Linked DNA regions of Diceros bicornis minor. The protein of the gene in region 2 interacts with the protein of the main gene of each other region in a pairwise test. Links are inferred from orthologs where the notes say so. Each region holds a gene or a part of one and is shown on either strand. Other genes may lie near its edges.

Region 1 (16,234 bases), on a different chromosome or scaffold from region 2:
GGACGCGGCCTCAGCATGGCCAGACAAGCGGTGCGCCGGTGTGCGCCTGGGATCCGAACCCAGGCCGCCAGCAGCGGAGCGCGCACACTTAACCACGGGGCCAGCCCTGGACAACGGTTTTGAAGAGATTTGATATAAGGGGAAGGAAATAGAGGAATAAGTAGGGGGGAGAGGGATCAAGGGAGGGTATTGTTTGCTTCTTCTAAGGTGGAGAGACCCCAGCTTCTCAGCTGATGGGAATGATCCAGCAGAGAAGGAAACGTGGATGATGGGGTTGGGGGTGAGGAGATAATCTGGGGCTGAGGCTGGGTCTCATGAGAGGTTCTCTCTCACCCCCATTTCACTGGTTTGAGTCACTCACCCAGGTCAAGTGAGCAGAAAGGCTGCAGAGGCCAGGGCCTGGGTCCCCCTCCCAGCTGCAAGCCCCCTTAAGTGTTGGAAGGAAAGAGGAGGTGGTTCTCTCCAGCTGGTGAACTTACCCATTCGTTTGCACACTCATTCAGCAGCAAAGGGTTTGGAATATTCCAGAAACAGGTGACGGTGGCTGCCACCAGATACTTGGTTGTGCTGTTCCCTCTGCCTAGAATGCTCTTCCCTCAGTCCTTCAAAAAGCTGGCTTCTTGTAGTTTGCCTCAGCTCAAGACCCTCAGAGAGGTGCCCGAGCTAAAGGAAGCTCCCTGATGGCCGTCTCCAAAAGCTTCTTCGTTGTATCTCTGAAGTTTCCCCAGATCCAACAGGACCTGTTTCCCATTTGTTTGCACTCTACCAACTGTCTCTGCACGAGAGTGTAAGCTGCACAAGGGAGAGGGCTTTTACTCTGGGTTTCCCCTGCACAGAAGAGGGCCTTGCATATAGGAGATATTCAATAAATATTGTGAAATGAATTAAGGAGCCTTTGGTCAGGAGGAGATGATAAGATATTTATTTCTTGATACTTTCACATTTATCATGGTTCACATTTATCATGGGCCGATTGTGGGTCAGGCATGTGCTCAACTCATTTTGATACGTGGTGGGAAAAGATTTGTCCCCTAAAGACAGGGACGCTATAATGATGTCACCGCCCTGCATAGCATGGAGACTGCTCCTTAACCTGTGCCCTAGTGGCCTGGACAATGCTGGCAAAACCACCATCCTCAAGAAGTTCAATGGGGAAGACATCGACACCATCTCCCCAACGCTGGGCTTCAACATCAAGACCCTGGAGCACCGAGGGTGAGCGGGTCCCTGTGGGCGGGCCGGCCGAGAGCAGGGCAGAGAGGGTGGACGAGGGGCCAGGCTGACCCTCCAAGCATCCCCTCCCTGTCCAGATTCAAGCTGAACATCTGGGATGTGGGCGGCCAGAAGTCCCTACGGTCCTACTGGCGGAATTACTTTGAGAGCACCGACGGCCTCATCTGGGTGGTGGACAGCGCCGACTGCCAGCGCATGCAGGACTGCCAGCGGGAGCTCCAGAGCCTGCTGGTGGAGGAGGTGGGCGGGGTGCCTGGCCGAGCAGGGGGAGCGGGCTTCCGCCAGAATCCAGGCCCCGATACTTTACGCACACACGTGGACGTGTGGACACCTTCCTCAGCAGATTTCCTGAGGGGCCCCTGACCCCAGAGGGACACCTGGGGTGGGATCTCTTCCTTCTCTGAGCCAGCACCCTTGGGGAGGCAGAGACCACCTGTATACCTGGTCCAGGGAGGCCCGCAGTGCTGCGGACAGGCCACGCTGTGGACCGAGACCTGGGTTCCCATCCCTTTATGTCCCTACTTCACCACCTTGAGTGTCATCAGGTTTTTCAACTAATGGCCTTTCTCTGTTCCAGGATTTGATCCCAGCTACTGCACTGCATTTAGTTGAAAACCAGGACACTTTTAAGATTAAAGAGAGTTGTTAATAATTATGCAGGGACAACAGGTATAAACGGGACTGTCCTGGGCACACAAGGACCTAGGGTCACCTGGTATAACAGTAGCTGCCTCTCTGGGGTGTCGAGCAAGTCCATTGAAATCAGGGCTGTCACATGCCCAGGCCTGGCACGTCAGGCCCTTCATAAGGGCTAGATCCCCACCCACATGGAGGGACTCCCAGGACCAAACACATATATGGAAATAACTAGAATCAGAGGCAGAGGCCTGTCAGGGTGATGGGACAGTTAAAGGGCTACATGAACTTGGAAGAGGAAGGTCACTTCCAGCAGATCCCATGGCCCCTCGGGACACGCATTCTTTGTGCATGTCAGGTTATGAGATGGAGCAGTCTAGAACCACAGAGGGCTCAGGGATCACCCCCTCCCTGTTTGTGGAAGAGGAAACTGAGGCACGGAGGAGAGAAGTGTCCACTGGGTAGTGATTGGGCTGGAACCAGCACCCTGGCCCAGCCCAGGGCTCCCTCCACCCCATGTCTGGCCGGCCTCAAAGGCCATGTCCACACTGCCCACCCCACTTGGGCCTCTCCCACCTCCACGGGGCCTTGCCCTGATCTTCAGGTTGATCTCTGACCGCAGATGCTCTGGGTGATTAGAGGAGGGGCCGGGCTGCCCTCTGAGCCCCCTCCCCTGGGCCCCTCTGTTTCTCTCCCCCAGCGCCTGGCTGGAGCGACCCTCCTCATCTTTGCCAACAAGCAGGACCTGCCCGGAGCGCTGTCCTCGAACACCATCCGTGAGGTGAGTCCAGGCCTTGGCGCGGGCTCACGGAGGAAAAGGGGCACGCATTTCTGTGTTAATTTATTTAAAAAGCATTTATTAGCCCCTGCCATGCAGCAGGACCTATGCTGGGCACTGGAGACTCAGTGATTAATAAGACACGGTGGTGTCTCGCAGCCTGCGGGCGGCAGCCCTGCAAATAGATTATTCCACAGGTTAACAGTAGCCACAAAGAGTGAGCACTTTCTGCATGCCAGGCTCTTTGCATGGATCAACTCATTCAAGTCCCACAGCAACCTCATGAGGCAGGAACTATTATTATCATTCTACGATGGAAGCAGGCTTAAGAGATCAGGTAACTGGCCCAAGGTCACACAGCCAATAAGTAGACAAGCCAGGATTTAAAAACTATCTGATCCCAGTGAGTGCATCTTAACTCTTATTCTAGAACATGAGCACCAATATGAGAAAGAGTGGGGGTAGAATCTTGGTTCTGCCACTTACTAGCTGTGTGACCTTAGGCAGGTTGCTTAACCTCTCTGAGCTTTGGTTTCCTCCTTGGTAAAATGGCCAACACTGGCTCATGGAGCCTTGGGCAGAATGGCTGAGAGGACATTTGTAGGGTCCATAGCGCAATACCTGGATCCTAGCAGATGCTCGGAGCCTGTGTTGCTATTCCATTTCTAAGGGGTAGGCTGGCGTGGCATGTATAGACAGCCCACATGCCTCCGGGGGCTGACAAATATTCACCAGGGACCAGGGGAAGCTTCTCAGAGCAGGACCTTGGGGGAGGCATGGATTTCCCCTGGGCCTGGAGAGGGAGGGGGGCTGTGAGCGGGCAGGGCCTGTGATCACTGGGCCCCACCAGCGCCTTCCACCCTCCCAGGCCCTGGAGCTGGACTCCATCCGCAGCCACCACTGGTGCATCCAGGGCTGCAGCGCCGTCACCGGGGAGAACCTGCTGTCCGGCATCGACTGGCTCCTGGACGACATTTCCAGCCGCATCTTCACAGCCGACTGAGTCGCTCCAGATGCCCCCCAACCTCGAAGTCCAGGACCCCCCAACCAGGCCCTCACCAAGCACCATCCATGGGGGGATGGGCATCAGCCAGCCCAATTAACACTCCCCATTCCCCTCTGTAACCTGCTGCTGCTACTGCTGCCCGCTGCCGCTCCATGGCCAGCCAGCTCCCACGGCAGGAGGGCTGCCACCTTGGCTGTAACCCTGGCTCCTGACCTGGCCCGCCTGCAGCTGCCACACCAAGAGGAGAGGGCTGGGGCTGGGAGGGGGCTGCCTGTGTTGCTCTCAAGGCTGTGGGCCTCGTCCTTTGCTCAGCTGTGAGAATAAACCATTCTTTGCTCCAGTTCCTGGCTGAGTCATTTATTGATTCAACAGCTTTCGAGACCGCCTGGAACCCACAGTCCAGCAGGGGACAGAAAGAAACAGATCATTTCAATCAGAGGGTTAACTGCTGCTGTGTCAAAGAGATGCGCAAAGAATTATAGAAGCACAGGACAGTGTGGCAACTAATTCCACTTGGAAGAATCCAGGCAGGCTTCCCAGAGGAGGTGACGTTAAAGCTGGGAGTGAAGGATGAGTAGAAGTTTTCTGGGTAGAGGAAGGGGGAGACAGTTTACCAGAGCGACTGCTGCCCTCAGTGGTGTGAATTAGAAAAAGGGACACAGCCCCACATCCGGGCTCACGGCTTATTGAATGGAACGTGGGCTGAATTCCAGCTCCCAATTTCCGGCTGCAGCTAGGAGCCCACATGCAGTGGACAACCTGTGCAGCTATACGAGGCAACATTGGCTCAAGCTGAAGAGCAAGGGCTCCTGGGAAATGGGGACGGGTGAGGACTCAGGTGTAGGAGGATGTGAGCACCAAGCAGGGCTAGCTAACAGGGCAGAGCCGGGAAGGAGCCTTCCCTGAAGGCTATAGGGCACTCTCTGAAGCAGGGGCCAGGCTGGGAAAGGAAGGGAACCAGGGTGACCCCAGAGTGGCAGGACAGATGGATGTTTTCACAAGGCCCCCTGCTCTGGTCCCACCAGTGGCTGCTTAGTCTGTAGGGTTCTGTTTGAGGCACTTACCATCTCATTGAAGAACAGCCCTAAGTGGTCCAGACCCTTTGTATTCCCATTTATATGGGAGCCGAGCCTTCAGGAGGTTATGACTTGCTCAAAGCTACTCAGCTAGGAAGTAGGGGACCTGGGGTTCGGACCCAACACACTTAGCCACTACACTCTACTAACTGTTCTCAGTTTTTGTCTCTGCTCGAGATTCAAATGCCAGGGAGAGGAGGCCTAATGTGTCTAGATGAGGGGAGGGCGGTTTTCCCAAGGGAAAGGCAAGGAAGAGACAGAGATTTACTCCAAACTGGCACTAGGATCCCCTCCTGGAGGGGCAGAGACCCGTGCAAAATCTGGGCTCTGTCAGGACGGAAGAAGGGAAATGGGTGTTGGATGGACAACCTTAGAACATAAACTGTCCTTCAAGGTAGAACATTAGAACCGCCCACCCTGTCCTCTGTGCAAGATGGATGCTGGTCCCCCTGTTCCCAAACCCTGGCGAGTGGGTTTGGGTGTGGCGAGTGACCACACCCAGGCTCCAGAGCCAAACCCCAGCTCTGCCACTCACTGGTTGATGCTGAGCAAGTTGCCTAACGTGTCCGTGCCTCAGTTTCCCCATCAGGGGAAAGATGATAGCACCTACTTCCTAGTGTTGGGATGAGGACAAAATGGGAGGGTATCTTGTGTGTCATAAACACTGGATAATGTTAGCTATAATTATTATTTGAAACACTAGGAACTCTGCCTTTTTCAAGCAGATCCAACCAATGTGAGCCCAGCCATCCACTGATCCGGTGAGTCACCCCAGTGTTCAAGTCCTCCTGAGGGCCCTTAGTAAGCAACATCCTTGATTTAAAAAGCAAATTATACATGGTTAGAGACAAACGAAAATAACAAGGTTCTGCTCATCTCAAAGGCCCGTGGCTGAGGAGGATGAGCCACAGCAGGAAGTGTGCAGCCCATGGTCAAGCGGACCCAGGGGGCACGTGGGGAGCAGGCCCCCTACAGCTGTGTATTTGCAGCTCCTCCCTCTCCCCTGCCTTCTAAGAAGGCTCTTCTGTTTGCTTCTCCTAGTGACGGAACTGGTGGAATTGGAGATCTGGAGAAGGCCAGGGACTAAACTGATTTAGATAGGAAAAGGCTTGGAGGGGACAGGGAGAAAGAAGGGGCAAAGGGGAGAACTGGGAGCTGCTGGGCCAGGGAGTGGGGCGGAGATGATGGGCGAGAAGGAGACTGGAGCCACAGCCCTGCCCAGAGAGCTTTGGAGAGAGGAGCCATGTCCAGAGGGCTCCTTTAGAGAAGCCCTGGGGTGTGACATGCCAGGAGACACCACTCCAAATCTGGGCCTCCTCCTCAACACCTCCTGGATGAACTACCTTGTTTCCAGGCTTCCGAGAGTCTGATTTGGGAATCTGCTTTGTGTTTCTTTCTGGAATGCCCACAGTGCCCACACATCTGAGTTCCAGTAACAAGAGTGGCGGTGAGCACTTGAACGCTTCACCCACATGACCGCATTTAAGCCTCACAACCCGGTGGTGGTGGTAGCAATCGAGGTCCTCGATGGCCTGCCCTAGACACAGATTACAACTGCCTTCAGCAGAAAGGACGCTTCTGGGGACTCAAGGCATTGTAATGGAGGCCGGATGTCCAGGCTTGGGAAATAGAATGCTCCAAAGGCTGGGCAGCCAAAAGCACAGCCAACTCTGTACTCCAGGAACAAGTGGTCCCCTTGCCAAGTCCTGTGCCCTCTGTCCCTCACTCAAGATTCAAGACCTCAGGAGAGAGTCCCCCACCCCGACCTGGGACCTGGGGCAAGGAAAGGAGCTGGCACCTTTGGATTCCAGGGTAGGAGGCTGGAGGTCTACACGTACAAGAGAACTACCTCCAAACAAAGATCTGGTGCTCTGGGACTAACAAAGAAGTGGGAGTGAATGCTGGACAGACCAGTAAAGGAGAAAAAGAAGCATCTCCTGCTGTAGATTCTATTATAAACATCTCCATTCTAGAGGTGAGAAACTGAGGCTTGAGTAGTTAAGGGAAATTCAAACAGCTAAGTAAGAAGTCTGACTTCAGAACCGGTGACACCATCGTGCTCCCCCGACCCTTCCAGAAAACATGAATTAGCGAATCCCATGGAGAGAGACAGGGAAATAACTTGGCTACCTCTTGCACATATTGGACACAATAAAAGTTGGGTGGATGGATGAAAGAAGGGAATTGGGAAGCAGTGAGCAGTCGTTTGGATATGTGTGATGAGGGTTTACGCTCGGATACGGTGGGCTTGATCTCTCGGCAGAGATGAGTGATCCAATCTCCCGAATCTTTACTCTCAAATAACCTAGTTTACGCTTTACCAACGACAGAGAACTTTTTAGACGCTCCCTTGGCCATGTGCCTGGGCCGAGAACTGCGCTGTCACTTACGACCAGCTCCCTGGGCCGGAGGATGAAGGGCGCAGGCCCAGGAGAGGTGGCGACTGGCAGAGGCTGACCTCGAGGGGCGGGGGCGACGCGGCGCAGGCGGAGGCCGGCGGTCAGCTCCGCTCCAGCTCGGTTGCCATGTCCCGCCAAGCGAAGGACGACTTCGTGCGGCACTACACGGTCTCCGATCCCCGGACCCACCCCAAGGGCTACACCGAGTACAAAGTGACCGCGCAGGTGAGGTGGGGCCCAGCGGGGACCTTTACCCTTTTAACAAGAGGTGGGGCCGTGTTTTACCTTAAGGCAAAGGAGCTGCTGCAAGCTCCCTTCTTAGACGACAGAAATGTATTTCCCCTTTAAGGGGAGGCTGCTTTATGAGTCTTCGTTTACTTCTTTAGCCGTCAGGGGGCGGGGCCATGGGAGGGTGCTGTCCTTTTAAAAGGGCGTGGATGGCAGGTCCCAGACCCGCCGAGTGTGGGTGCCCACGCCCTGCGTGCAGTATCTGGGCGTCGGGCTGTGAATTTCTTTAAGTTAACGTGAAAACTCCGAGGCAGCCCAAATATTAGTTCTCCAATCTCTTGGAGTAAGTTTTATTTATTGGTTTGTTTGATATTTACATAAAAGACCTTTAAAGAGTTTATTTTTAATTTTTCAAAAATTAATACTTGTCTCTGACTTTAAAAATTAATACAGTTCAAAAGAACTTAAGGAGTAAGTCTCCATCTTCACGGTCATAGCAGGCAGTCAATAGGTAAAGACTAAAGTTGATATATGAAGCGGTAACAGTGTTATAAGCGCATTGTATAGAGACATGGAGGAAACCATGCAAAGAATTTAAAATAGTAACAGTGTAACAGACTATCCCTAGAATGATATACAAGAACTGGTTGGGGGAAGACTTCACTGTAAATTTTTTGTACCTTTAGAATTTTAACGAGGCAACTATTAAACTGATGCATTAGTAACTATTAAGGTGAAGCAAAGCATAAAGACACTTTCAAAGTGATTTAAGCGCAGAATCCTAGATGTTTAAAATGAGCTTTCCCCAAATCTTTTATAATGTCTTTCCTATGCCTAAAAATACAAATAAAAAGATAGTCCCTGGGAAGATGAACTGAAGGGTGGGAAGGGTCTGTAACATTTTCCTTTAAATCTTTCTTTTGGTTTTTTAAACAAGTAACATGCATTACTTTATGTTTTTATAACTTTTAAAGATAAATAATTGTCCCTCCCTTACCGTCCCCATTCATTGTCATCTTGGGAACCATTGCTGCTAGTTTCTTTTTATTCTTGCAGATAAATTCTACATTTAAAAGCAAATATATGTAGTCACTTTATTACTGTTATTTACACACAGCAGCATTCTGCAGCTTGTTTTATTCATTTGCTGGTATTCCTCAATTTTTTTATTGCTTCACTTTTTAAATTTTTAAAACTGAGATATAATATACATAAAGTAATATGCACAAATCTTGTGTACAGCTCAATAATTTTTACACATGTATACATGTGTGCAAACACCAGTCAGATCAAGATATAGACATTTCCATCACCCCAGAAAGATTCTTTGCATATTTCCAATTGGTAGTCCTCTTCCCACAGAGGTGACCGCTGTCCTGACTTCTGTCACCGTAGATTAGTTTTGTCTGTTCTTGAACCTCATGCAAATGGAATCACACAGCATGTACTCTTTTGTGTCTGGTCTTTTTCACTCCATATGGTGTTTTTGGAATTCACCCGTGCTGTTGCATGTATAAGTAGTTTGTTCTTTTTTATTGCTCTATAATAGTAGTCCATTGTATAAAAAACCACTATTTCTTTATTCATTCTCCTGTTATTGGACCTTTGGGTTGTTTCTAAAAAAATTTTTGTTGTTATGAGTGTAGTTGTATGAACATTCATGTACAAGTCTTTTTATGGACATACGCACTCATTTCTCCTTGATATATACCTAGGAGTGGAATAGGTCATAAGATAGGCAGATGTGTAGCTTTCCTAGAAAGTGCCAGTCTTCCAAAGTGGTTGTACCATTTTATACTCCCATTCTTGCCAGCACGTGACGTCATCAGCATCTTTAATTGTAGCTGTTCTTGGTGGATGTATAGTATCTCATTGGAGTATTAATTTGCATTTCTCTGATGGAGAATGATGTTGAGCATATTTTGTAATCTTATTGGCCATTCAAACATCTTCTTTTGTGGGAAGTGCCTGTTCAAGTACTTTGCCCATTTTTTAAAGTTGGATTGTTTGTCTTTTTAATAGTGATTTGTAGGAGTTCTTTATATATACTCTGGATATGAGTCCTTTGTCACGTATACATTCCTCAATGGTTTTTAAACATAGTTTCTTTTACCCAAAATACTTTAGGCAAGTCTGTTCTGAAAAGCAAAGGCCAGGATTTCAGTCCTGTCAGTTCCTCTTACTGAGTGTGTGACCTTGCACAGGTCACGTCCCTCTCTGAGCCTCTGTTTCCTCATCTTTTTTTTTTTTTAAGGAAGATTGGCCCTGAGCTAACATCTGTTGCCAGTCTTCCTCCTTTTTTCCCTTTTTCTCCCCAAAGCCCCAGTAGGTAGTTGTATGACATAGTTGCACATCCTTCTAGTTGTTCCTTTTCCTTGTCTTTTAAATGGGCATGTTAATCATGTCTGCCTCCCTGGGATCTAGGATAATGAACAGGCAATGTTGAAAACTGTCAAGTATTCCCAGCTGTAGGATATTATTTTTTAATTATTGTGAACCAATTATAATGAAAACGAGTCTTCTTTCCACCTCAGACCCCAGTCTGCTTTTCCCGGGGTCACGACCCCGGTGACGGTTTCTTCTGTGTCCAGGAGCATTCGAGCACAGGGGCTTCCTGCTTTAAGGAAGGAGTGGCTCCTGGGACAGAACCTTGTTTCTCTAGAGAACTTGGGGTTCTTTGGTTTCAGAAGGAGATACAGGGACTTGGCCCTTTGAAGGAACTGAGATAAAAGTTGGGCTGAGGATGGACGGGCTTTTGGGGATCCTCCCATTTCACAGATGAAGAAGCTGAGGTGCATTGTAGAAAAAGTGCTCAAAGTTACACTCAACGCCTTTAAGGCAGGACACCTTGATACCAGTGGCCAGTGGCCAACGTGCACTGCCCCTGTGAGGGGGGCTGGGAGGTGCCTGGGGCGTCCTCAGATTTTACGGGGTCCTCAGCAGTCAGATGTCAGTCTCTGGTCTCACCTGGTTCTTGCCTTTTTTCCTCAGTTCATCTCAAAGAAGGACCCGGAGGATGTCAAAGAGGTGAGGCTCCTGGGAGGAAGGGGGACCATTCCCCAACTCGAGATCTGGAAACAGTAAAGGAGCAGCTGGTAACCCTGCCAGGAGATCAGCCCCGCTTCCTCCCTGTGCCCTAATCCGCACACCCTGGGGCCAGGCTGGGGGTGGGGAAGGCCGCTTCCCACCCTTGCTGGTCCGGGTCAATCTCCCGTCCCTCTTAGGTGGTGGTCTGGAGGCGCTACAGCGACTTCCGCAAGCTGCACGGAGACCTAGCCTACACCCACCGCAACCTCTTCCGCCGCCTAGAGGAGTTCCCTGCCTTCCCCCGCGCCCAGGTGTTCGGTGAGTGTTGATCCAAGCATTCAGCCTCAAGATGGAGGGAGAGTTGGCAAAGGGGACCCTGCTGGTGGGGGCTGGATAGAGGGGGCCTGAAGCTCCCAGCAAAGACACGTTTCAGAGAGCTGGAAGGGCCCTTAGAGATGGCCTCACTTTACGGGTGGGGAAACCAAGGCTCAGAGCAGCCTCGCCCTTATTGACTGTCGGGTCCTTTAACATTCCTGTTGTCATTAGCCCCGTTTTCAAGATGAGGCCACTAAGGCTGAGGGAGATGAAGGGGCTTGGCCTGTAAGTGAACCAGAATTCCTATCCATAGCCGATGTCTCCTCTAGACCTGTGCTGTCCAAAAACAGCAGCCATGAGCCACATGTGGCTGAGGAGCGGCGGGGATGTGGCCAGTCTGAACTGAGATGTTGAAAACACACTGAAAAAAGAATGCAAACTATCTCAATAATTTATATATTGATTACATGTTCAAATGAGAATATTGTAGATATGTTGGGTTAAATAGAATATATTATAAAATTAATGTGTTTCTTTTAATTTTGAAAAATGTGGCTATGAGAAAATTTTAAATTACCTGTGTGGCTCATATTATATTTCTCTTGGACAGGGCAGAGCTGTTACTTGGGTCTGGACTCACATGAGATGCCTTTTGTGGCAAGATGAAGGGTCACTCTTGGCAGGTTATGCCAGACAGCAGGGAGTGCAGCAGGCTGCTCCCCCGGTAGCATGATAACCAGGCCAGAGTTAGAGAACTCTGCGTGATACCAAGAACAGAGCAGTAAAACTGTAAAAATGGGGCAACTTGCTGTGTGACTTTGGGCAAGTCACTTTCCCTTTCTGAGCCTCACTTTCCTGCCCGTTGCATCAAAGTCAGCTGAAATTGTTTGGTTTCTTGTTGGTTGCCTGCCTCCCCCTGTCTAGGATGTGATATCCATGAGGGCAGAGACCTTGTTTCTTTCTCATTCACCCCCTGAAGTTAGCACATACTAGGCACTCAATAAACATCTGGTAAATGGGTGAATAGGGAGATTGCAAGTGCCCGCACCCCGGGAAGAGCCAGGGAAGATTGCTGGGAGAATGGGGAGGGGGCAGTGGGCTACTTAGATCCTCTTGGGTGGAACCAGGAAAAGTGGCCAGAGGCCTCTGTGAGTCACTGCTTCTCTCCCCGCCCTTTGTCTTGGGGGGCTGCAGGCCGGTTTGAAGCCTCGGTGATTGAGGAGCGGCGGAAGGGCGCTGAGGACTTGCTTCGCTTCACTGTGCACATCCCTGCGCTCAACAACAGCCCCCAACTCAAGGAGTTCTTCCGGGTAAGTGTCCCTGCTTGGCCTCCCCAGCACCTGGGAAGCCTGCTGCCCGCCAGGCTGTGCCCTGTGACTTCCCCTGGCTGGTCTTTCTCTCCTACAGGGTGGGGAGGTGACACGGCCATCCGAGGTGTCCAGGGACCTGCATATCCTGCCACCTCCTCTGATCCCCACACCCCCGCCTGATGAGCCCTGGTTGCCCCAGCCGCTCCCTGCAGAGAGGAGAGGCCTGGAGGAGTTGGAGGTGCCAGGTACATCGTGGCGGGGGAGGGAGCCAGGGCTGGAGGGTCCGGGGGGTGGGACCACACCTTCCTCAGGGATCTTAGTAAAAAGCCCGAGGTGTGTCCCAGCTCCTCTGCCACCAACCTGCTGAGGAACTCTGCCCAGGCCATATCCCTTCTCTAGGCCACAGTTTCTTAATCTGTAAAATGGGCGCAAACCCTAAGAATGGGCTTGTCTATGCCCCTGATTGGCGCAAGGATTCAGTGAGAGGGTCATTCTGTTTTGAAAGCTGGGAAATGATACGGGCAGGCATGAATGTCCCCCGTCATCTGTTCCTCAGGGGACCCCCCGCCATCCAGCCCTGCCCAGGAGGCCCTGGGTCTCCTCTTTGACTGTGGGAGCACCGAGGAGGCGTCCAGTTCCCCTGCCCGAGGCCCCCTCACTGAGGCTGAGCTTGCCCTTTTCGACCCCTTCTCCAAGGAAGGTAACAAGCTGGTGCAGGGGTGGGGGCGGCGGGAGGGAGTGCTGGGGCAGGAGGTCTTTAGGGGCAGGGAAGCAGGCAGAGCCACCACCTAGCCTGTGTGGTGCCTGTGTAAATCTGAGAATGGCATGCACGCAAATGGCAGCCTCGATGAGAATTAGAAGCAGATGCCCCTCCCTGGGTGCCACAGCCCTGGCTATGGCTTTGCCAGCTGGGTGCCCCTGTACAGTGAATAACAGTGGACAAAGGGAATGAGTCACTTCCCATGATGAGATCTTCTCCCTGAGAAAGTTCTGGAACCAGCAGGGATCACACTGCTCTGGGAGTTTTAGTTCCTTCCCTTGGAAGACCGAGAGGGGGGTTTCCTGGCTGGCTCAGGGTCCGGCTGCAGATCCTGAAGGCAGGAGAGGCATGTTGGTCAAGGGGGTGAGGCCGGGGCTCAGAGAGCAGCAGGACAAGCCCCTGGAGCGGCTGGCATGGGGGTTACCAGAGATGAAGGGCCCCCATGGAGATCCGGGTGCTGAGCCCCCAGCTCTGAGATCCAGAGATCTGACAGTCCCAGGCTCTGCGACACTGGATCTCTTCGTTCTGAAATCTCTGAGTTTATGCTGTTACAGCAACTGGGGTGTTGAAGTGGCTGATCTCACTTTGGGATCGTCATGAAACAGTTTCATTTTTGATTCCTCAACAGTCTTATAAAGCCTGTTTTGTTGGATTCCCTTCTTCGCCCTTTGGTGACCTCCTGGGCAGACCTTTAGCTTTCTGGTCAGTTTTAGGCGTTTGAGTTCTCTCATCCTCAGGTCCAATCCAAATCAGGACTCGGTCTGCCATCCAGTTTTCAGCCTGGACGAGGCTCAGGCCTGACTGGGTGGTGATGAGGCTGTGAGGAGTGCCCTTTTACTCTGCTTGTTGTGCTCCCTCCCCTCCCTGCTTCTGCCCCTCCAGGGTTGGGGAGAGGAAGAAGGGATGGAGGGGAGAAGTGGAGGTGGTGTTGCTGGGGCTGATGTACCTGGCCTCTGAGAGGCAGGTGCCCAAATACTCTGCCTTGCTCCAGCTGAGCCCCCTGGGGTACCCGGTGGGCTGCTGCTCAGGCAGGACCCTGTCCTCCCACGAGACATTCCCTCGGCCCACAGGAAAACTCCCCAAATCCCTTCAAGGCCTGGAAGTGCATTTTGCTCAGATGCTGCTGTCATGAGCAGCTCCAGTGAGCCTCTCGCCATCAGAATTCTCCAGCAAGGAGCTGGCTCTCGTCTCTCTCTTCATCACATGCACCAAACTCCTGAATTTAAGCACTAGGGTGTCCCAAGAACTCTTCTGTCTTCTGCTCCATTATAACACAGGCGGGGCTGTAGGTCCAGCTGGGAAGTGAGGTGTCATCTTCCCTTCCTACATGAGGCCCCTGGTCTCCTTGTGGGGTCACCAGGACGGGGCTGGAGAGATGCCCACCTTCCCTTTCCAGGACAGTGGTGTGCCATGGTGCTTCCTGCTCCTGCACCTTCCTTTCAAATGCTTTTTCACCAAATCTCTAGCCTTCTTGTGTGAAGCTGCAGAAGGGATGTTTGAGCACCTCTTTGCCAGTCCTGGCCCTTCTTTCTGGAATGTGAGGATCCCTACCACCACCGTCTTCACATTCGAGGCCTCAGCTGAGATTTTAAGACTTCAAAAAAGCCCTGAGATTCTCTGAATCCATTATTCTAACATTCCAAGGCTTGGAGCGTTTCTAACCTTGGCCTCGTGTAGTTGGTCTAGCATCCTTCAGTTAAACCTTGTGGAGGAAATTCTTAGATTTGTAGATCAACTGTAGTGAGGAGGGAAGTAGGAACAGTGACCCAGCGCTTGCAAACTACCGTCAATGTGCATCGAAAGAAATTGGATTGCTCAGACACTGTTCCCCTCCACCAGGGTGGGTTGGTACCCTGATGGGCAAGAGAGGTCTGGGGATGAGCAGCAGGCCCTGGGAAAGGGAGGGCCAGTCTGGCCTGAGTCCTCCATATCTGATTGCAGAAGGTGCAGGCCCCACTCCTACCCACATAAGTGAGCTGGCAGCGATGGAGGCAGAGACTGAAAGGCTGAACCAGGAACCTTGGGAGCCAGGAGGGCAGGAGGAGGAAGAAGATGAGGAAGGAGGGCCTGCCCCTGCCTATCTGAGCCAAGCCACAGAGCTCATCACTCAGGCCCTGCGGGACGAGAAGGCAGGTGCCTACCCTGCAGCTCTGCAGGGCTACCGGGACGGCGTGCACATCCTGCTTCAGGGAGTTCCGGGTGAGTAGGGGTGGATGGGGAGGGTCAGGCCTGGGGTCCCAGATGGTGCAGTGAAGGGAAGGGAAAGTAAAAACCCAGCAATTCAAGGATCAGAATTGCTCCTCACTGGCCAGCTGTGTAACCTTGGGCAGTTTCTTTTCCTCTTGTGGCCTCAGTTTTCTTATTTGCAAAATGGGGAGAATACATTCGACTCCCAGGCAGGGGGTAAAGACACCTGTTGATGCTCTGTGAACTGGAAGGGGCTAGACCAGGGGTTCTGAACCTAGGTACCTGGGCCCAGGGGCCTCAGCTGAGCCATTCTCTCTCCACAGGCGACCCATCGCCTGCCCGCCGGGAGGGTGTGAAGAAGAAGGCGGCCGAGTACCTGAGGCGGGCAGAGGAAATCCTGCACCTGCACCTGTCCCAAGTCCCACCCTGAGAGGGAGTGCCTCCCTCCCCAGGACTCCAGCTCCAGCACTGCCAGCCACCCCCCTCTCCTTCCCCTGGTGCCTGGTCCTGTCTCCTGGTCTTGTAACTCCAGGGGCCATTTCTGTATGTAACTGGACCAAGAATGAGAAAAATAATGAATTCTCAGCTCCCTGACCACACCTGCCACCTTGCAATCAGGGACTCACACTTCTGATCCTGCCTGTCTCTATCTTGATGTGTGAGCAGCAGCTCTGGTCACTAAACTCTCCGTTCACCCATGTAGAACCGGGGTCTCCAAACGACGCCCTGTAGCCACGTCTGGCCCACTGCCTTTTTTTGTAAGGCCAATGAGCTAGAATGGTTTTTACATTTTTTAACAGTTGAAAAAAATCAAAAGAATAATATTCTGTGACAGGTGCAACTTACATGAAGTTTAAGGATCTAAAAATAAAATTTATGGGAACACAACTGGGCTCATTAGTTTAGCATCGTCTATGGTTGCTTTCCCGCCACACCAGCAGAGTTGAATAGGTGCAGAGTTGAGAAGTTGCGACCCGCAAATTCCAAAAGATTTACTATTGGCTCTTTGCAGAAAAGCTGGCTGACGCCTGATCTAGAAAACGGGGAGAATAGTCTCCAAAGGAACGGTGGAGAATAACAGGCCGGTTGAGCCGGGTTACCCGTTTTGGCGAGCGGGCAAGCCAAACATTGATGGTTCAGTGGGCTGGAACATGGAAAGCCGTGGCTCCGCTCCTGCCCCGCCCCTCCTGCAAAGCGATTGGTTGCAGAAGGAACTACAAACCGGTGCATCATGGGAGTGGCCAGACTGCGCGCGGCGCTTTATGGGGGATGTTAGCCT
Region 2 (16,871 bases):
TAAAATATGGTACATCCATATACCTTGTCTATGTAAATAAATGCTTTAACTCATAAAACTTGAGACTTTTATCGGGAAAAAATATTGTAGTAATTCTAGTACTATACAGAATATGAAGTCAGCATTCATCTATAACACTGTATTCATTCAACAAATATCTGAGTGTCTACACCACATCTAAGGCATTGTGCTCAGCAATGGAGATATAATGTCATATAGTGCTTTTCCTCAAGGAAAAAAAGGTCATATAGCCCCCCTCCTCAAGGAGCTACAGTCTAGTGGAGAAGAGAGATGAGTAAACATACCATTATCATATATATAGTATGATATATACAATGAGGTAAGAATAGAATGTTATGGGAACAGATGAGGAAAGCAACTTAAAAATTAATAATCACCATTCCAAGAAACAAAAAAACAGTAGCTTAAATGTGAAATTATCAACTCCTCCTTTAGAGTTGAAAAGAATGATGAAGCCATCAGTCTGAGAAGACCTTAGCATCAGTAAAGCTGGGTCTTACCATTCTGCACTATATTCTACACTAGCTAGACACAAAGGCCACATTCACCCATTTAAACACTGCTGACAAACTATGGTTCTGCCCTTACAGTTCCCATTCCTGGTGCTGTACCCACACGGGGACCTTCCAGTGTCTATATTTAGAAAGAGAAATAAAAAGTCTCAAAGAATGTACTATAAGAATAGTGTATCTGCAACATTTACTTCTATTTAATCAGAGGGTCCAGGGAAGAATCAAGAAATATCATCCATTTGGTTGGTATTTTTTACCTTGAGCTAGCAAAGTACCTCTAAAAGGTGCCATTTAAATTAGGGCCTTGTGGCCGGCCCCGTGGCTTGGTGGTTAAGTGCGCACGTTCCGATGCTGGTGGCCCGGGTTCGGATCCCGGGCGCGCAGCGAGGCACCACTTCTCCGTCCATCCTGAGGCCGAGTCCCACATACAGCAACTAGAAGGATGTGCAGCTATGACATACAACTATCTACTGGGGCTTTGGGGGGAAAAAATAAATAAAATCTTAAAAAATAAATAAATAAATAAATTAGGGCCTTGCGTCAGTAATGTTTCAAATAAACTGCTTATAGGTGTATTATGAAGCAACTACACATAACACAGAGCCAATTACTGGACAATAGATAATATGCTACTTTTTAGAAATGTTTTATATAATATAGAGCAAATTTAAGTTTACAGTGATACAGTGCTAAAACAGCGTGTTTTCTAAATACTCTTCCACATAATCAGATATTTATCAAAGTTTCAATAAATATATTCATTATTTTAAAAAAAGATTTGAGGGAGCTTGTGAGTTACTTAAAAAGGACTATAAATTTGGCACTGAACTTCATAGGAACCAATCTGAATTGTAATTCACCTTATCCATAAGGAGCACATCACCTGTTCCCAACTTTTATTCCTAGTCAAAAGATTAAAAATGGCTTAACAACAGAAATTACCCAGAATCTCTAAATTCATTGGTTCTATTCCTTTTTATCATTTTCTAGATAAAAATGGAAGGAAGATGGGGAATGGATAGGGCATGACATCTTTTTCTTTATAAGCATCTACTTCCTGGGAGCGTCACATCACTGTTTACTTGTTAAGAATTGATACTTAAGATTTAAACTACGTGTCACTCAAAATCTTTTAACATTTCTAATATGTGCTCCTATGCCAACATAAATGATCATATAATAAATGTCTTTATAAAAGACTAATAGTTTTTAATCACCAAGCCATAACCTATACACATGAGCAATATTAAATTCTATACAAATTTCCATTGCAATTAACAACTTTGAACAGTATCTGAAATTGATTCAACTTTTTTTGCATTTACATCCAAAGTCTCCAAGTCTTATCAGTCCTTCTTTCATAAACTCTTCCGAACCTAACTATAAAAATATACATTCACAGCCAATCAAAGAAATCACGCTTCCCTTCTATTCCATTTTCACTGAATGAACTAGTAATGAACTAGTTCAGGCTCTACTCACCTGTCTCAGAACTACTGCAAAAGCTTTCTAAATAGTTCCCCTGTTTTTCTTCCCAACCTATCTAAAATATTGTCACCAATTCATTTTTCTAACACTGCTTTCATAATGCCACGCCTCAGTTCAATAATCTTCAATGGCTTCCCAATACCGAAAGCAATAATTCAGGAGTGTGGTGAAAAAACATGAAATAACTTTATACTTGGGAAACAATAACAAAAACATTTTTGGTTTCATAATATAAATTACTGAAAGCAAGAGCAACTATAGATGAATGAGCATGGTAACAGCAGGATGATAAAACCCTAATTCCTTAATTTGGCATTGAATTCAGATTCCAGATCTACCACACATTTTCAATCTTAATTAACACTAGTTTAGAACATGTCCAGAGATCAGCTCAATGTCATCCTTAATGATAATGTTTGCATTTCTCTCAACTCAATTTCTATCCGAAGTTGCCCTTGCATATCCTCAAAGCCTAGGTTAACCAACCACCTTTTCAACTTGAAGCCAAAGGTTTCACCATGAAAAACGGTCACCACGCGAGAGGCTTCAGTCTCACTTCAGTTACCGCACTGCAATGGAGATGCTCCAAGCACCATAGCAAACAGCAAAATTACAACTTACCAAGTGATGGAAATAAGAGTTTACTCAAAAATAGTGTAAACGGCAATGCTAAATACACGGTGTCAGGGTTCTGCCATACTCAGTAACATACACCCTCTTCCAGCCAGGCTGGTCTATGTTTCTTTCTAACCGTGCTCTGCATATTTCTCACTTTCTTTGTCTTTACTCACATCAGTCCTCTCAGGTCTTCTAAATCTTCAAAACTATATTTTTACTCCAAATCACAATATATTTAAGGAGCATATTTCTAAAATAAACAATATTTTCCTTAAAAAAAGCCAATCTTTCTACCATGGGCTGTTAGACACACCCAATGATCTAAGTGTAGCCCACCTCTTGACCCTCACACCACTCTCCCCTTTGTTTTTCTCACTAGTCTTTTTACCAAATTCTCAAATACACAAAGCGCATTCCTGCCTCAGGGCTTTTGCCTCCTCGGAGTTGCTTGGAAATTTTTGATCTCTGCAGCTCAAATCTCACCTCTTCAGAAAGGCCTTTCTCAGTGCCACCCTATCTAAAAAGGCCCCCACACATCCCAATCATTTTCCATGCCATCATCCTGTTTATTTTCCTCATAACATTACCACTACACTGAGTTCCTTATTTATGTGCTTGTTATCTGTACTCCTCTCATGGGGAGCACATGTGTCTTGCTTACTGCTATACCCTGATAGCCAAGAACAGTGCCTGTCTCTGCAGGTCATCAATAATCAACTGAATGAATGAACAAACTCGGTTAAGAAATCTAGACTCACTGAAATGGTTTAACTATCCATGACCATAATCATGATGTTCCTGCATTTAATAAAGGAACTAAAGGTTCCAAATAGGCATTGTCAATACAGAATTAAGGAACTATGCAAAGATAGAGTCCCTGAGTGGGCAACTCTCCTTTGTTTTTCAAACTTAGTATTACAAACGTCAAATTCCAAGGGAATGCTGTCACCTCCCGAATCCCTAATGTTCAAAGAACAGAACTCTTCTCTTTGTTCCCATGCAGGAATACAAAATGACAAATTAGTATGCTCTTGTTAATCATTAAATTTCCCATTTGCAAATTTATTACTTTCTATTTTTCTACCTTACCTTAGTTTCTCTCAAATATGTGTTTCTGATTCAGAAAAAGGAAAGACTGAGTTACTCTTCATCTTCTAATATCTTGAATATAGTGATTAGTGTTTTGAGTAATGCTTTGGAGTATGTCAATATCAAAATGTTACTCAAACATCACAGTTGGCTTATTTTCCTGTTGCAGAGCAGGAGTGAACTGAAAAGAGAAATTTCTTCTGTGATCTCAGACTGATTTTATTTTTCTAGAAAATGAACCATTTCTAAAATCCTTCAAGGCTATGAAGATTTCTCAGCAGGGAGTTACATTACCATAGTCCCCCCTTATCCATGGGGCATACATTCCAAGACCCCAAGTGGATGCCTGAAACTGTGAATAGTACGGAACCCTATATATACTATGTTTTTTCCTATACATACATATCTATGATAAAGTTTAATTTATAAATTAGGCACAGTAAGAGATTAACAATAATTAATAATAAAATAGAATTGTAACAATACACTATAATAAAAGTTACGTGAATGTGGTCTCTCTCTCAAAATATCTTAGCGTACTGTACTCACCCTTCTTCTTGTGATGATGTGAGATGATACAATGCCTATGTGATGAGATGAAGTGAGGTGAATGACGTAGGCATTGTGACGTAGGGAATTTTCCATTTAGTATTTTTGGACTGCAGTTGACCGTGGGTAACTGAAACCGCGGATAAAGGGGGACTACTGTACCTGATTCCTGACTTTTACATATACTTAAAAGAAAGGTCCTACTGCTAGTGGGTCACTTTCTGTCCCAAAAGTAACAAGCTACTTATTAATAAGTTAATATACTGTCTATGAATTATCAATCTCTAACAAACCTGACTTTTTCTCTTCCAAAATAAACAATTAGCCAAGATGAAAAGCGTAATGAAACAATGTTCCTAAAAATAATATACGATCAGGTACTTATATGAATGAAAAGATTTGAAAACTATTTACAGATTTGTCTCTGTCGACCTAAAACATATAAAATCTAAGAAACAGTATTTCTAACTAACATATGAAAACGTCTGTCTCAAAACATTTCATTAAGTCTGACAGTAAATCTGCCACAAATTCAATTGGCCTATTCCCAGCAAGGAATCCACAGGCTTCCTCTTCTTTAAAAATGTCAACCATTTTGCCTTTTCTTTTTCTACGATTCAATTCTGATGCATTAAGAAGCTAAACCAGCCCACACTATCAGCAATTCCTCTCACTCTGCGGCTGAGACCCCGGCAGAACTGACCCCGCTCGGAACACAATGCCTAGATCCCATTTCCCTGGCTCGGTTTAGCTGGTGCGGAGTCGCCACATCACCAGCTGGGCGGTGGCAGGACTTCGCCAGAACTCTCTCCTTCCCAATTCTCCAAGCGCCACACCACTGGAGGCGCTCTCCCTTCACTGCAGCTGGGTCATTGTGGACATTTTCCACTGGGCCAGCTCCCCGCCAGCGCAACAGGAGCGGGAGGGGGATGAAGCGCATAGGGGCCACCCAAGCCAGGGAGCGGGTAAGGAGGGGGACCAGGGCTGAATGCGGGCAGACAGACTAGCAGCGAAACTGCGCCTTTTCCCCGGGGGCAACCCAGACCGGTGGACGAAAGATTAGGCCGCCCAGGCCTTTGCAACCTCACGCCGGAACCAAGCCAGCGCAATGAATCTACAACCCTAGTTCCTCGATACACACCCGGCTCCGACTAGGGCTGGGTGCCTGACTTCCGGAACGCAGTGGAACGGGGAGCAGAGGGAAGAACCTGGGGGACGGCGGGGCGCACGTGCTCCCGATACCGAGACAGACGATAGAACCAGCCCGGGCTTCCTCGGCCGCCCCACCCTGCTCCACGCGGTTCCCACCACGGGGGGCGCCTCCGCCCCGAGGTCCGCAGACAAAGCCCCCTCGGAACCAAGGGGAGGGCTCGGCCCGAGGCATCTGGGAAGGCACACAAAAGAGGGAGGGGCGCGAGGGGCGGCGCGGAGCGGGAGGGCGCTGCACTCACCCACTGAGCCTGAGGAGCCCCTGCGCTTGGGCGCGGCCGGGGTGGAGGGGGGCGCGGCAGGGGTCGGCACGGGCGGGGTCCACGCGGGCTGGGCTTGGGGACTCACGCCGGACGGGGGAGGCGGGGGAGGTCTGGCCGGAGGCTCGTCGTCCTCGGGGAGCTTGGAGGGCAAGACTGCGGCAGCGGAGGGCAGGGATGACGCGGACACCGCCGACGACGCGGGGCTCGGGTCCCAAGACGGCGCCCGCTCCGGGGCGGCGGGGGGCGCGGCCGGCAGGGGCCCCCGGGGCGCCGGGGGCACGAAGTCATTGCCGAAGTCCAGCAGGGGCGCGCCGGGGCCGGGGGCGGGGGCGGTGGGCAGTGGGGCCGCCGACAGCCCGGCGGCGGGCTTCCTCTCCAGCACCTCCAGCTCTTCCAGGTCTTCGTCCTCGTCCTCGTCTTCCTCCTCCTCCTCTTCCTCCTCGTCCTCGGGCTCCCTCACGAACTGGTACTTGAACGGAGGCTGAGGCCGGGGCGGGCTGTCCGAGGACGAGGAGACCAGAGGCGACTGGTCCATGTCTTCCATGGCTGGCGGGTCGGGGATGATGCTGCAGCAGCTGCCGCCGCCGGGACGCTTCTCCTCAGAGCCGCGGGCGGTTGTGGGGGTTGAGGAGGACTGAGAGGGGCAGGGCCGAATGAGCCGAGAGACCTGCAGTGGTGACGGCTCCCGGAACAATGAGACTGCTCCTCCTGCCTCCGCGCCCGTGATGCGCCACCCGCCCCGTCCCCAGTTGCCGCCGCCGCCGCCCAGACGAGCGAAGGAGAGAGGCCAGCAGACTCTCCGCCCAGTTTGGCGTGACTCACCCTCCCCGGCAGGGAGAGGCAGGGACTGGCGCGGGAGGGAGGAAGCCAATCGGCTACGGGATAGAGACGATGGGCAACAAGCCGGCCCAACGGAAAGGAAAAAAGAGGAAGGTGGGTGGGGCTTATCGCACTTCCTCTCTCTTACCGGCTGGGGTGGGCTCGATGGGCGGAGTTTGGAACTGGGAGCCCCACCCTCCACCTTGGGTAGGTGCGGGTCGAGCTGGGGTCTTGGCTTTGCCTACAGCTGGAGGTCAGTCTGTAGTTAGGGTACTGCGAAAGCCAGCCAGCTGACTGCCCTGATGGGTCGAAGAGCTTCCTGCCGCGCCACCGGAAGGGCGTTATCTTGGGGGACTGGGAGTGGAAACTTCCCTCCCAGGAAAGGGAAGAACCCAGAGTGGAGAAAGGTACTAACTAACGGGACTGTGGAGTAGGCCCTAAGGATTGAAGTATACATTAAATTTTAAAAGATTTTGAAATAAAAGATATTTTTTCAAACAGATTTTCAAACCACCTCATCACTATTACCATTACCACCTTAAAAGAAAAAATAATGTTTTTTGACAGTTTTGAGATCACTCCCAGTCTATACTGCAGACCCTGGATAAAGTAGGCAAAACAGAGCTGGACTAGACGATCCGGGGTCTGGAGCAGACCGTTTGAAAATCCGCTCATCTCCTCAGGATAGTTTTGGGATCTGCCCGCTGCTGGACTCGCACATGGTAGGAGGATGAGTCACCCGAAGAGAAAGGGAGGGGAAAGAGGAAAGTGGAAACAGAACCAAGCCTTGGAAGGCATATTTGGTTCCCGTTACATTTCAGTCACCTTAGGCTCATGAGTCAACATTTCAGATGATTCAGGCTTTCTGGGAGTCAGGAAGCCCAATACTCATTTCTTTGATATACCAGAATGAGCATGATCCCCATTCCACTTTTTCCAAAACTGGAGAGAGAGTTTAAAGAAAGTGGTTGCAGAACATTTAAGTATCAGCATCCAGAGGTTTAGAGAGCTCTTTTATCTTTCTGATATACCTTCCAAAAATATTCGCTGCATGTCTAATCTGGAGGCTGTGAAGAAAGGAGGATAACCTGCTTTCAAGTTGCTCGCAGTCTAGGCCTGCACTGTCACTATCCAAGACCTTAGTCACTGGCTACTTGTGGCTGTTGAGCACTTGAAATGTGACTGCTCTGAAATGAGATGTGCTGTAAGTTTAACATGCACACGTGGTTTTGACAGTAACAGAAAAATTAAATATCTCAATTTTTATATTGGTTATGCATTGGAATTGATAATATCTTGGATATATTGGGATAAATATATTACTAAATTAATTTCACTTTTTACTTTGTTAATGCAGCTTCTAGAAAAATTTAAATACATATATGGCTCACATATTTCTATTGGACAGTGCTAGTTTAATGATTAAGAATTTTTGATTGCCATGAGGGGAATCACTGATTATTTAAGCAAATTCTTATCTCCAACTGATTAATATTACCCTAGGCTTAATTTGAGCATTAACAAGGAAAGGGAGGGGCTGGAGGAGGGAGGAAGGATGAATAGGCAGAACACAGGAGATTTTTAGGGCAGTGACACTATGCTGTATGATACTGTGGTGATGAATACATAACATTATGCATTTGGCAAAACTCATAGAACCGTGTGACACAGAATGAACCCTAATGTAAAATGTGGACTTTGGGGTAAATAATATATCAATATTAGTTCATCAACTGTAACAAGTGTACCACACCAATGCAAGATGTTAGTAATAGGGAAAACTGGTTGGGGGGTGAGCATGGGAGTGTACGAAAACTCTCTCTTCTGTTCAGTTTTTCCGTAAATGTAAAACTAGTCTAAGAAATAAAGATTTTTTTTAAAAAACAGAAAATTTTTATTTCTAAAAAATGGTTGTGAATTGCTTTGAGCTTGTTTGGTTTTATTTATTTATTTGTTTGTTTATTTATTTATTTTGAAGGGTTAGAAAGAGTAGGAAGAGAGAAGAATTAGTGTAGAATTTGGGGGCAGGAGGTTTAATGCCAAACTAAAAATTTTAAAACAGATTCCTACAATGATAATTAAATAGTCATATTTTTAAATATTTGTCAAAAATTATCAAAAATGTACGTGATTTCCAACTAAGTGTATACACATACAAAAATATACTGGTAAAATTTTATGGTATGAACTTTTTCTATTAAGTCACAATTTGGCTATCAGCAGTTCAATCTTCCCCTTACTGGCTTTTCCACTGTGGTTGTTTTGAAACTCCTCAGTGGACAATTTCACAGGATTTTCATATATTATTTGTCAGTTGCTTATACGATATGTCTGCATCCATATATCTGTGTACCTGCTATTACTAAAATAGTCACAAGGGAATATCTTTATTAAAACTGTCATAAAAGAATGATTACAGAAAAGTGGTAGATTTACAATTTAACAGTAAATAACAGTAAATATTGAGGCAATAATATAAGTACGGTCCTCTGTTGCAGAAGAAAAATAAGAATTTTATATTATTGATCTCAGCGACTTCTAAAAAATTAAGTGTTTGATGAATAAAAAGGAAAGAGTTTACCCAGCGTTCATAGAATGGTCAACAAAGCATAAGGAAAGGAGAATGTTGCTGCTATACCAAAATTAAAAGTAGAGTTAGTGTACTTACATTAGTGTAACTAGATGTAAGAATCACTTTCACTAATAAGAAAATTCTGGTTGATATTTGAAATGGCTAAAGGAATAATATAAATTGTGGATCATATTAATAGTTAGAAATTAATTATTCCATGAATTATCTTTGGGTTATCTTACCAGATGTAGAAGATTCAAGTTTCCAGATACCATGGGTTAGTAACTTCTGTCTTAGAATGCTGCAAGAGGTCCATTCAGCCTGATGGAATCAGAGAATCTCAGAATCAGAAGGACTCTGGGAGGTCTGCTTGACCAGTCTCCCTCCCATTACAAGAATTCTCTACAGAAGGTTTTTTAAACTTGAGCATCTGTGGTAGATTAAAAATGGTCACAAACTCTTTGCAACAACTCCCATCAAGAGTTTGGGTCAATTTCCCTACCTCTTCTGAGCTGGCCTTGTAACTTTCTTGACCAATAGAATGCCCTGGAAATGAGTTCCAAGCCTAACCAGCAGAGGCATGACAGCTTCCACTCTCACTCTTGGAATGCTGAGGCCCACGACGCGAGACACATGGAGAGAGAGACCTCGCTGTCCCAGCCGTAGAGCTGATGTCCCAGAAATGTGAGACCATCTCAGACTGTCCAGCCAACCCACAGAATCATGAAAAATAATGAATCATTGCTGTTTTAAACTACTACCTTTTGGGATGGTTCATTACACAGCAAAAGCTAATGGAAACATCATCCCTTTTGTGCTTCTATTTTGTGCCTTATTCATTCATACACGAGGTATTTATTGGGTATTTACTCTGTACGAAGCACTGTGCAAGATTTAGGAATACAGCACTGAACAAATCAGACACAAATGTGCTTGAACATTTTCAGTAAAGGGAGACTCACTACTTAGGCAAATAGCCCATTCCATTTCTATAGTAGTATACCTTATTGCAGAATGCTGAGTTGACGCCTAATCTGGTATACAGAGAACAGGTTAATTATCCTTGCATCATGTATGTCCCCTGAAAGAGTTAAAATGTGTAGCATGGATATACTCTTGCCTGCATATTGCAGGATGCAGACTTGAGAGTGGGTTCAGCAACCATAGGAGAAAGATGAGAGGCAAGTTCCTGACAACCCTGTTTCAAAAGCTGTGCACCACAACTTTTTTGCCCACTGAAAATGACTTGCTTGTGTTCAATAGCACCACTGAATTACATTCAACCTTTGTACTCAAAAAAGATTGAAGCATCCTTTTGGAACTCATAATGGCTATGTCATTATCCCTACCATCTTGCTGGGATTTTAGATTTCATGATTTCATGAAATGTACCTTTTTGTGAAATGCATTCCTGGTTCTGGTTAACATCTTGACTTATACTAAGTTTATTCCGTAATAAATGTAAAGAAATAAATGAATACATAAGATCAACATCTTCAGCCATGCTAGTTATGCATTGACAATTAGCGCTGGACCTAAAATTAAAAATTTAAGTTCCAAAGAGAAATCACATAATAGACAAGTGAAAGTCATTATTAAAATTGAACCTCATCCTTCTCCTTTAACTTTCTTGGGTCCTCTGCATTAATACTGCATTTCTTTAGGCTAGTTTAATATGCATTATTTCTCTGGTGAAATTTATTTTGATCTAGCAGAAAAACTATTTTTGGTCCAGCAGAAAATTAATTTTTATCTAGCAGCACAAATCCAAGCAAAGAAATTCCTAAACCTATCTTAGACAAATAAAAAATCTGTCCTCATGAGAAAAAAGAACTACAGAGAAGAGTTCACAAAATTATCTGAGTTATAAATAACAGATTCCAGGATATAACCCACTCTTTCTAATACCTAAAGATTGAAGTATAAATTTTGTTGTTTTATCATCTATGGAAATAGAAATCAGGTGGTCACTATCTTTAGAATAAACACTATTTATTCAACTAAAATCTATTGAGCATCTAGACCCTGGTGATAAAGAGTAAATAAAACACATTTCCTAATGTCAAGGAACATAGCATCTAGTTTACATAAGAATATATAGGTATATATACATATATGTGTGTGTATATATGTACGTATGTGTATGAATATATATACTGTATGTATATGATATATATAGAGAGCGAGACAGACAGACATAGACATATTCCAGCAGGATTTTGAGAAGTCTTCATATAATAAGTTAATATTTAATCTTTTAAGATAGAGAAAGATAGACAGGGATCTAAGGAAGGGGAAATAACACCTTCAAAGTCAAGGAGGAGTGAAACTCCAACACAGATTCAAGGCATAGAGAGGTCTCTAGTATAGCTAGAGAAGTGGAAGGTGATTGAGGTTAAAACCAGAAAAATAAGCTAAGTACGGACTGTGAAGGATCTTCAATGCTACGCTAAAGAGTGGAGGCATTATTCTCTAAATAGAGAGCTATTAAAGGTCTTTAAGAAGGATGGTGGGATGATCCGATTACTAATTTACAAAAATAACACTGATAGAGGATGGATTATGGGTGCTAGAGTAAGGAAACAGAATATTATAATATTTCAGGTAATCTTTGCCCAATAACTTTATTATAGCTACTGTGGTTTAAGTGAAACATAATTACTACTTGTAGTCCAGGCAAAAGTTGATGAGAGCCTAAACTAATAGCATAGGAGATAGGAGAAGATACATTTGAAAAACATTTAAGTTGAATTCATAGAATTTGGTGGCTAATGGTATGGAGGGGCTGATGGAAAAGAAGAAAGAAAAGCTGATTCTAAGCTTTAAGGTTAGGTGACAAGGTAAATGGGTGCTGCCATTATCAAAGAAAAGAAGTCAGGAGAGGAGCACGGAATGGGTGAGTAATGCTAGGGAGAATATAATGACCTAAGTTTTTAGATACATTGAACTTGAGTTGCCTGCAGAGCATTTGAGTAGAAATAATCAGAAGGCAGAAGCAAAACTAGGGCTGGAGCTTAGATCTAGTCTGGAGAGCAGATACCTAAACCTGTTGGTTAGGTTTCATGGGTAGAGGTTTGAGGAAAAATGGTGGGGTACGGAGAGAGGATGGCCAAGCAGGGTGATGGATACTGTCTGCTACCCATGGGAGAAAAAGGCCTTGAATAGAGCCCTGGGAAACATCAACACGAAACATCTCTGGACGTACTTGAACAACATTATTTCCATTTAACCTTTACTTTTCCCAGGCAAAACAACTTAAAAAAGAAACAACTCACTTTTGCTTTTCTTCATAGGTCTAGTTCTTTAGTTTTTAAATGGGTGCTCATTTTATCTTCTCCATTCACCTTAAATATTAAACTCAGAACTCAAAATAGTATTCCAGTAAATGCTTAGTATAATTATATTTAGCACTAAGTAATCTATAGGTACAGGGACAGCACCAACAATTGAAACCACAGATAATCCTTAAACCTTCATTAAGCTGGTAGCTTCAGCCTCTTAGCCAATAACAAGTAGTAGAATTGCCTGGTAGACTTTTCCTCTTCCTGTAACTAACCATCCACCAATGAAGATGCTAGAGAGAAAGAAATGGCTGGAAGAAAAGCAGTAAGAGATTAAGCAAGCTCCATTAAATTACAAAATTAACTAGATAATAAATTATTCTTTTATATACTACTTGTATTTATGAGGTATAGGATTTTTTTTTTTTTCCGATGAGGGAGACTGGCCATGAGCTAATATCCATTGCCAATCCTCCTATTTTTGCTGAGGAAGATTGGCCCTGAGCTAACATCTGTGCCCATCTTCCTCTATTTTGTATATGGAATGCCGCCACAGCATGGCTTAATGAGCAATGTGTAGGTCCACGCCAGGGATCCAAACCTGCAAACCCCAGGCCGCTGAAGTGGAGAGCTCAAACTTAACGACTACGCCACCAGACCAGCCCCCCAAGGTATAGGATTTTTTTTAAAAAATCAACAGATCTATATTACTCATACTCAACTTGTTTTCTACTTTCCAGAGAACCCAGGAACACATTCATCACCCGAAATGCTGTAGTGTATTGCTCTGCCTGTGTCTTTTTTGAAACTCATTTTCCTTTTGTTACTACAAACTTGTTGTGATCTAGCATTTCCATTTTATCTGAGTTTTATTTATTGTCCTGAGTGGAAATTTTTTCTGTCAAGTGGTAAAAGAAATGTTGTAAATCATTTACACATGATAAATGCTATTTACTCTAATGAGTTAAATATGGCGTCTTATCTGTTCATTTCCTCTTCCTCCCAAAACCCCATTAAAATGTCAGTACAGCAATAAAAATGGTATTAACCAACAAGGACAAAGAAAATAAGAGAGGAGACAACAGTGGATAAAATATTTCAACACATTTTTGAAAGACAAAAAGCAGAGGAGCAGTTACTGACTTAGAAGACTGTATGACGTTACAACCTAAATACCTCTCAAGGGGCAATATCAACTAGACGCAAGTCATTTTGTGCCACAGAACACTTGAGAGACTCAGCCCCTGGAGGTGCCAGATTGAAAACAAGTGGATTAAGTAAAAGAGAAACCTTGGCCCCCATGTTCCCTCCCTGCTCCCAGAAAGTCTACCACAAGGCTTAAACATATCTCTGCTGCCCCATCATTACTGCTCCCCCAGCCCATGCTGTCCCCTATACCTCATTCTCCCACAGACAGGAAATTGGAGACTTCTTTTGTGCAGAAACAAAATGGTTGCAGTGAAAATTCCTCAAAGTATTGGCATTTGGAGTACCCCAGTAAAAGACCTGATCGGTCTCACCTACCCCCTTTTCCCCACAGAGCTTCCAGTCCATTTTTTTAGTACTTCGCTTTTAAACATAAAACAAAACACAAGAACCACCAGACACTTGACAAAAGCCCTGAATGAAAGCTAAAAATGAAAACAAACAGAAAAAGAAACTTGAGGGAACAGAGACATATAGAGAACAGAAGAAAATATCAAAGAAATTATAATATTTAGAGAGAGATAAAAGAAGATATCACTCTATAAAACAAAAACAGAAACAATAAAAATTGAAAAAAATCAGAGAACATGAGAGTTCATAAATTAAAACCAATTGTATGTTCATAGCAGCATTATTCACAACAGCCAAAAGGTAGAAACAACCCAAATGTCTATTAATGGATGAATGGAAAAACAAAATGTGATATACACATACAATGAAATATTATTCAGCCTTAAAAAGGAATAAAATTCTGATACGTGCTACGACATGGTTGAACCTTGAAGATGTTACACTAAGTGAAATAAGCCAGACACAAAAGGACAAATATTGTATGATTCCACTTATATGAGGTGCCTAGAATAGTCAAATACTACATAGAGACAGAAAGTAGAACAGTGGGTACTAGGGGCTAGGGGAAGGTGGAAATGGGGAATTAATGTTGAATGAGTACAGAGTTTCAGTATGGGATGATGAAGAAGTTCTGGAGATGGATAGTGGTGATGGTTGCACAAAAATGTGAATGTACTTAATGCCACTGAACTGTGCACTTAATGGTTTAAATGAATAAAGTACATTTAATGTATATTTTTCCACACTAAAAATTTTTTAATTGCACTTTTTAAAAATTATTAGAAGTGTTGGAAGATAAATTTGAAAAATCTCCCAGGAAATACAAAAAACAAACAAAAAGATGTATTAGCAACAAACAAGTGGAAGTTTAAGGTTTTTTCTTTTTTTTTAAAGCAATACCATTTACAATAGCAACAGAAAACATGAAATATTTAAGGGTGGGTTTAACAAAATATGGCCAAGACCATTGCACTGCAAACATTGCTGAGAGAAATAAACTAGAAGAACTTCAACTTGATTTCAAGATTTATAATAAAGCTACAATAATTAAGCCAGTGTAGTATTGGCATTAAGATAGACAAAGAGATCAGAGGAACAGGATAGAGAGTCCAGAAATAGACTCATAGATCCACATATAGTCAATTAATTTCTGACAAAGGTGCCAGAGTATTTCAATAGGGAAAGAATAGTCATTCCAACAAATGGTGCTGGATGATTGGACATCCATATACAAAAAAACCCCCAAAAAACCTTTAATCCTTATCTCACATCATATTCAAAAAAACTAACTCAAAATGAATCATGGGCCTAAATAGAACAGCCAAAACTAAAATTTCTTGAAGAAAACTTAGAACAAAGTCTAGGCAAGGATATATAATGAATGCTGTTGCAAGAGTAAAAGGGTACAACCACTTTGGAAAATCATTTGGTAATTTCTTATAAAGTTAAACATATCTAACGATATGACCCAGCAATTTCACTCCTAAGTATTTATCCAAAAGAAATGAAAACTGGAAACAACACAAGTGTTCATCAACTGGTGAATGAATAAACATATTGTGGCTTTGGAATCCACCTCAGCAATGAAAAGGAACACACTATTGATATACACAGCGTGGAAGAAACTCAAAAGGATTATACTAAGTGAAAGAAGCAAGACACAAAAGCCTATATACTATGATTCTGTTTGTGTGACATTCTGAAACAGGTGAAACTACCAGGGGTAGGCGGAGGGAGGAAGTGAGTGCAGGGGGGACCAGGGAACTTCTAGGAGTGACAGTGGTGATGGTTACATGGCTATATATACTGTCAAAAGTCATTGAACTGTATACTTAAAATGATTGAACTTAGGGGCCCGCCCTGTGGCTTAGCGGTTAAGTGTGCGTGCTCCGCTACTGGTGGCGTGGGTTCAGATCCTGGGCACGCACCAACGCACCGCTTGTCTGGCCATGCTGAGGCAGCGTCCCACATACAGCAACTAGCAGGATGTGCAACTATGACATACAACTATCTACTGGGGCTTTGGGGAGAAAAAGGCGAAAAAAAGGAGGAGTATTGGCAATAGATGTTAGCTCAGGGCCGGTCTTCCTCAGCAAAAGGAGGAGGATTGGCATGGATGTTAGCTCAGGGCTGATCTTCCTCAGCAAAAAAAAAAAATCTTGAAAAAGAAAATGAACTTACTCAATACAAAGCTGATTTTTTTTAAAAAAAGACAAAGAGATGTAATTTATAAGACAAAGATTAAAAAGTTAGAAGCTCAGTTTGAGAGGCCTCTGAAATCACTAATAAGAGATCCAGAAAGAGAGAACAGAGAAAACAGTACTTTTCCTATTAATCTAATTTGTCCTCTAGAAAGATGAACTTGCAGTATGGTGCTTCATGCTCCATGACAGAGCATTATTTAAGAGTTTACATTTTAACTTAGCCCAATAAATGTGTGCACATTTTCCGGGTGTCAAGAAATGTTTTAAGACTGTTGATTAAACAATTCTCCTTCTCTAAATCACCCTCTATCTCTATGAAATTGATAGTGCTGTAAATAAAATCGAAGTCTGGCTTAAGCTGTTGTTTAGATCTTAGAATTGGGGCTAGTTGCTGTATTCAGGTGACTATGTACTGTGCAATTTTTTAAAAAGAATCTATTATTTAAAATGAATATTTCTTAAGCATATTGTACTTTCATTGCTGTACCTCTGAAACCCAGCCATTCATCTTTTATTAACAGCTTTATTAAGATGTAATTTACATACCATACAATTAATGCGTTTTAAGTGTACAATTCAATGCCAGCCATCCTCACCTTTTGTACAAGTTTTGAATAAAATATGGAAGAAAAGCCAATGTGAGTCAGTAGAGCAAGATGCTAGATCCAATTTTACCAATTTTACCTAGC

Evidence for each region.
Region 1: the proteins of RTN4 (region 2) and SNX15 interact in binary tests that used the Homo sapiens proteins (3 or more experiments, as listed by UniProt). The two-hybrid records come from large-scale screens. The link is inferred for Diceros bicornis minor from reciprocal best matches to the Homo sapiens genes RTN4 and SNX15.

What each region holds. Positions count from the first base shown.
Region 1 is NC_080770.1:8,105,162-8,121,395, reverse strand, and holds SNX15 (sorting nexin-15), read left to right. Parts: upstream 1-7,139; 5' UTR 7,140-7,254; coding exon 7,255-7,353; intron 7,354-10,347; coding exon 10,348-10,383; intron 10,384-10,580; coding exon 10,581-10,701; intron 10,702-11,892; coding exon 11,893-12,008; intron 12,009-12,105; coding exon 12,106-12,253; intron 12,254-12,564; coding exon 12,565-12,708; intron 12,709-14,709; coding exon 14,710-14,967; intron 14,968-15,278; coding exon 15,279-15,385; 3' UTR 15,386-15,903; downstream 15,904-16,234. Other genes in the region: ARL2 (ADP-ribosylation factor-like protein 2), read left to right, coding at 1,105-1,215, 1,311-1,473, 2,570-2,650, 3,516-3,650. UniProt on the Homo sapiens protein: May be involved in several stages of intracellular trafficking. Overexpression of SNX15 disrupts the normal trafficking of proteins from the plasma membrane to recycling endosomes or the TGN.
Region 2 is NC_080751.1:31,377,981-31,394,851, reverse strand, and holds the start of RTN4 (reticulon-4), read right to left. Parts: upstream 6,568-16,871; 5' UTR 6,294-6,567; coding exon 5,729-6,293; intron 5,677-5,728; exon of another isoform or gene 5,662-5,676; coding exon of another isoform or gene 5,419-5,661; intron 4,408-5,418; coding exon of another isoform or gene 4,278-4,407; intron 1-4,277. UniProt on the Homo sapiens protein: Required to induce the formation and stabilization of endoplasmic reticulum (ER) tubules. They regulate membrane morphogenesis in the ER by promoting tubular ER production.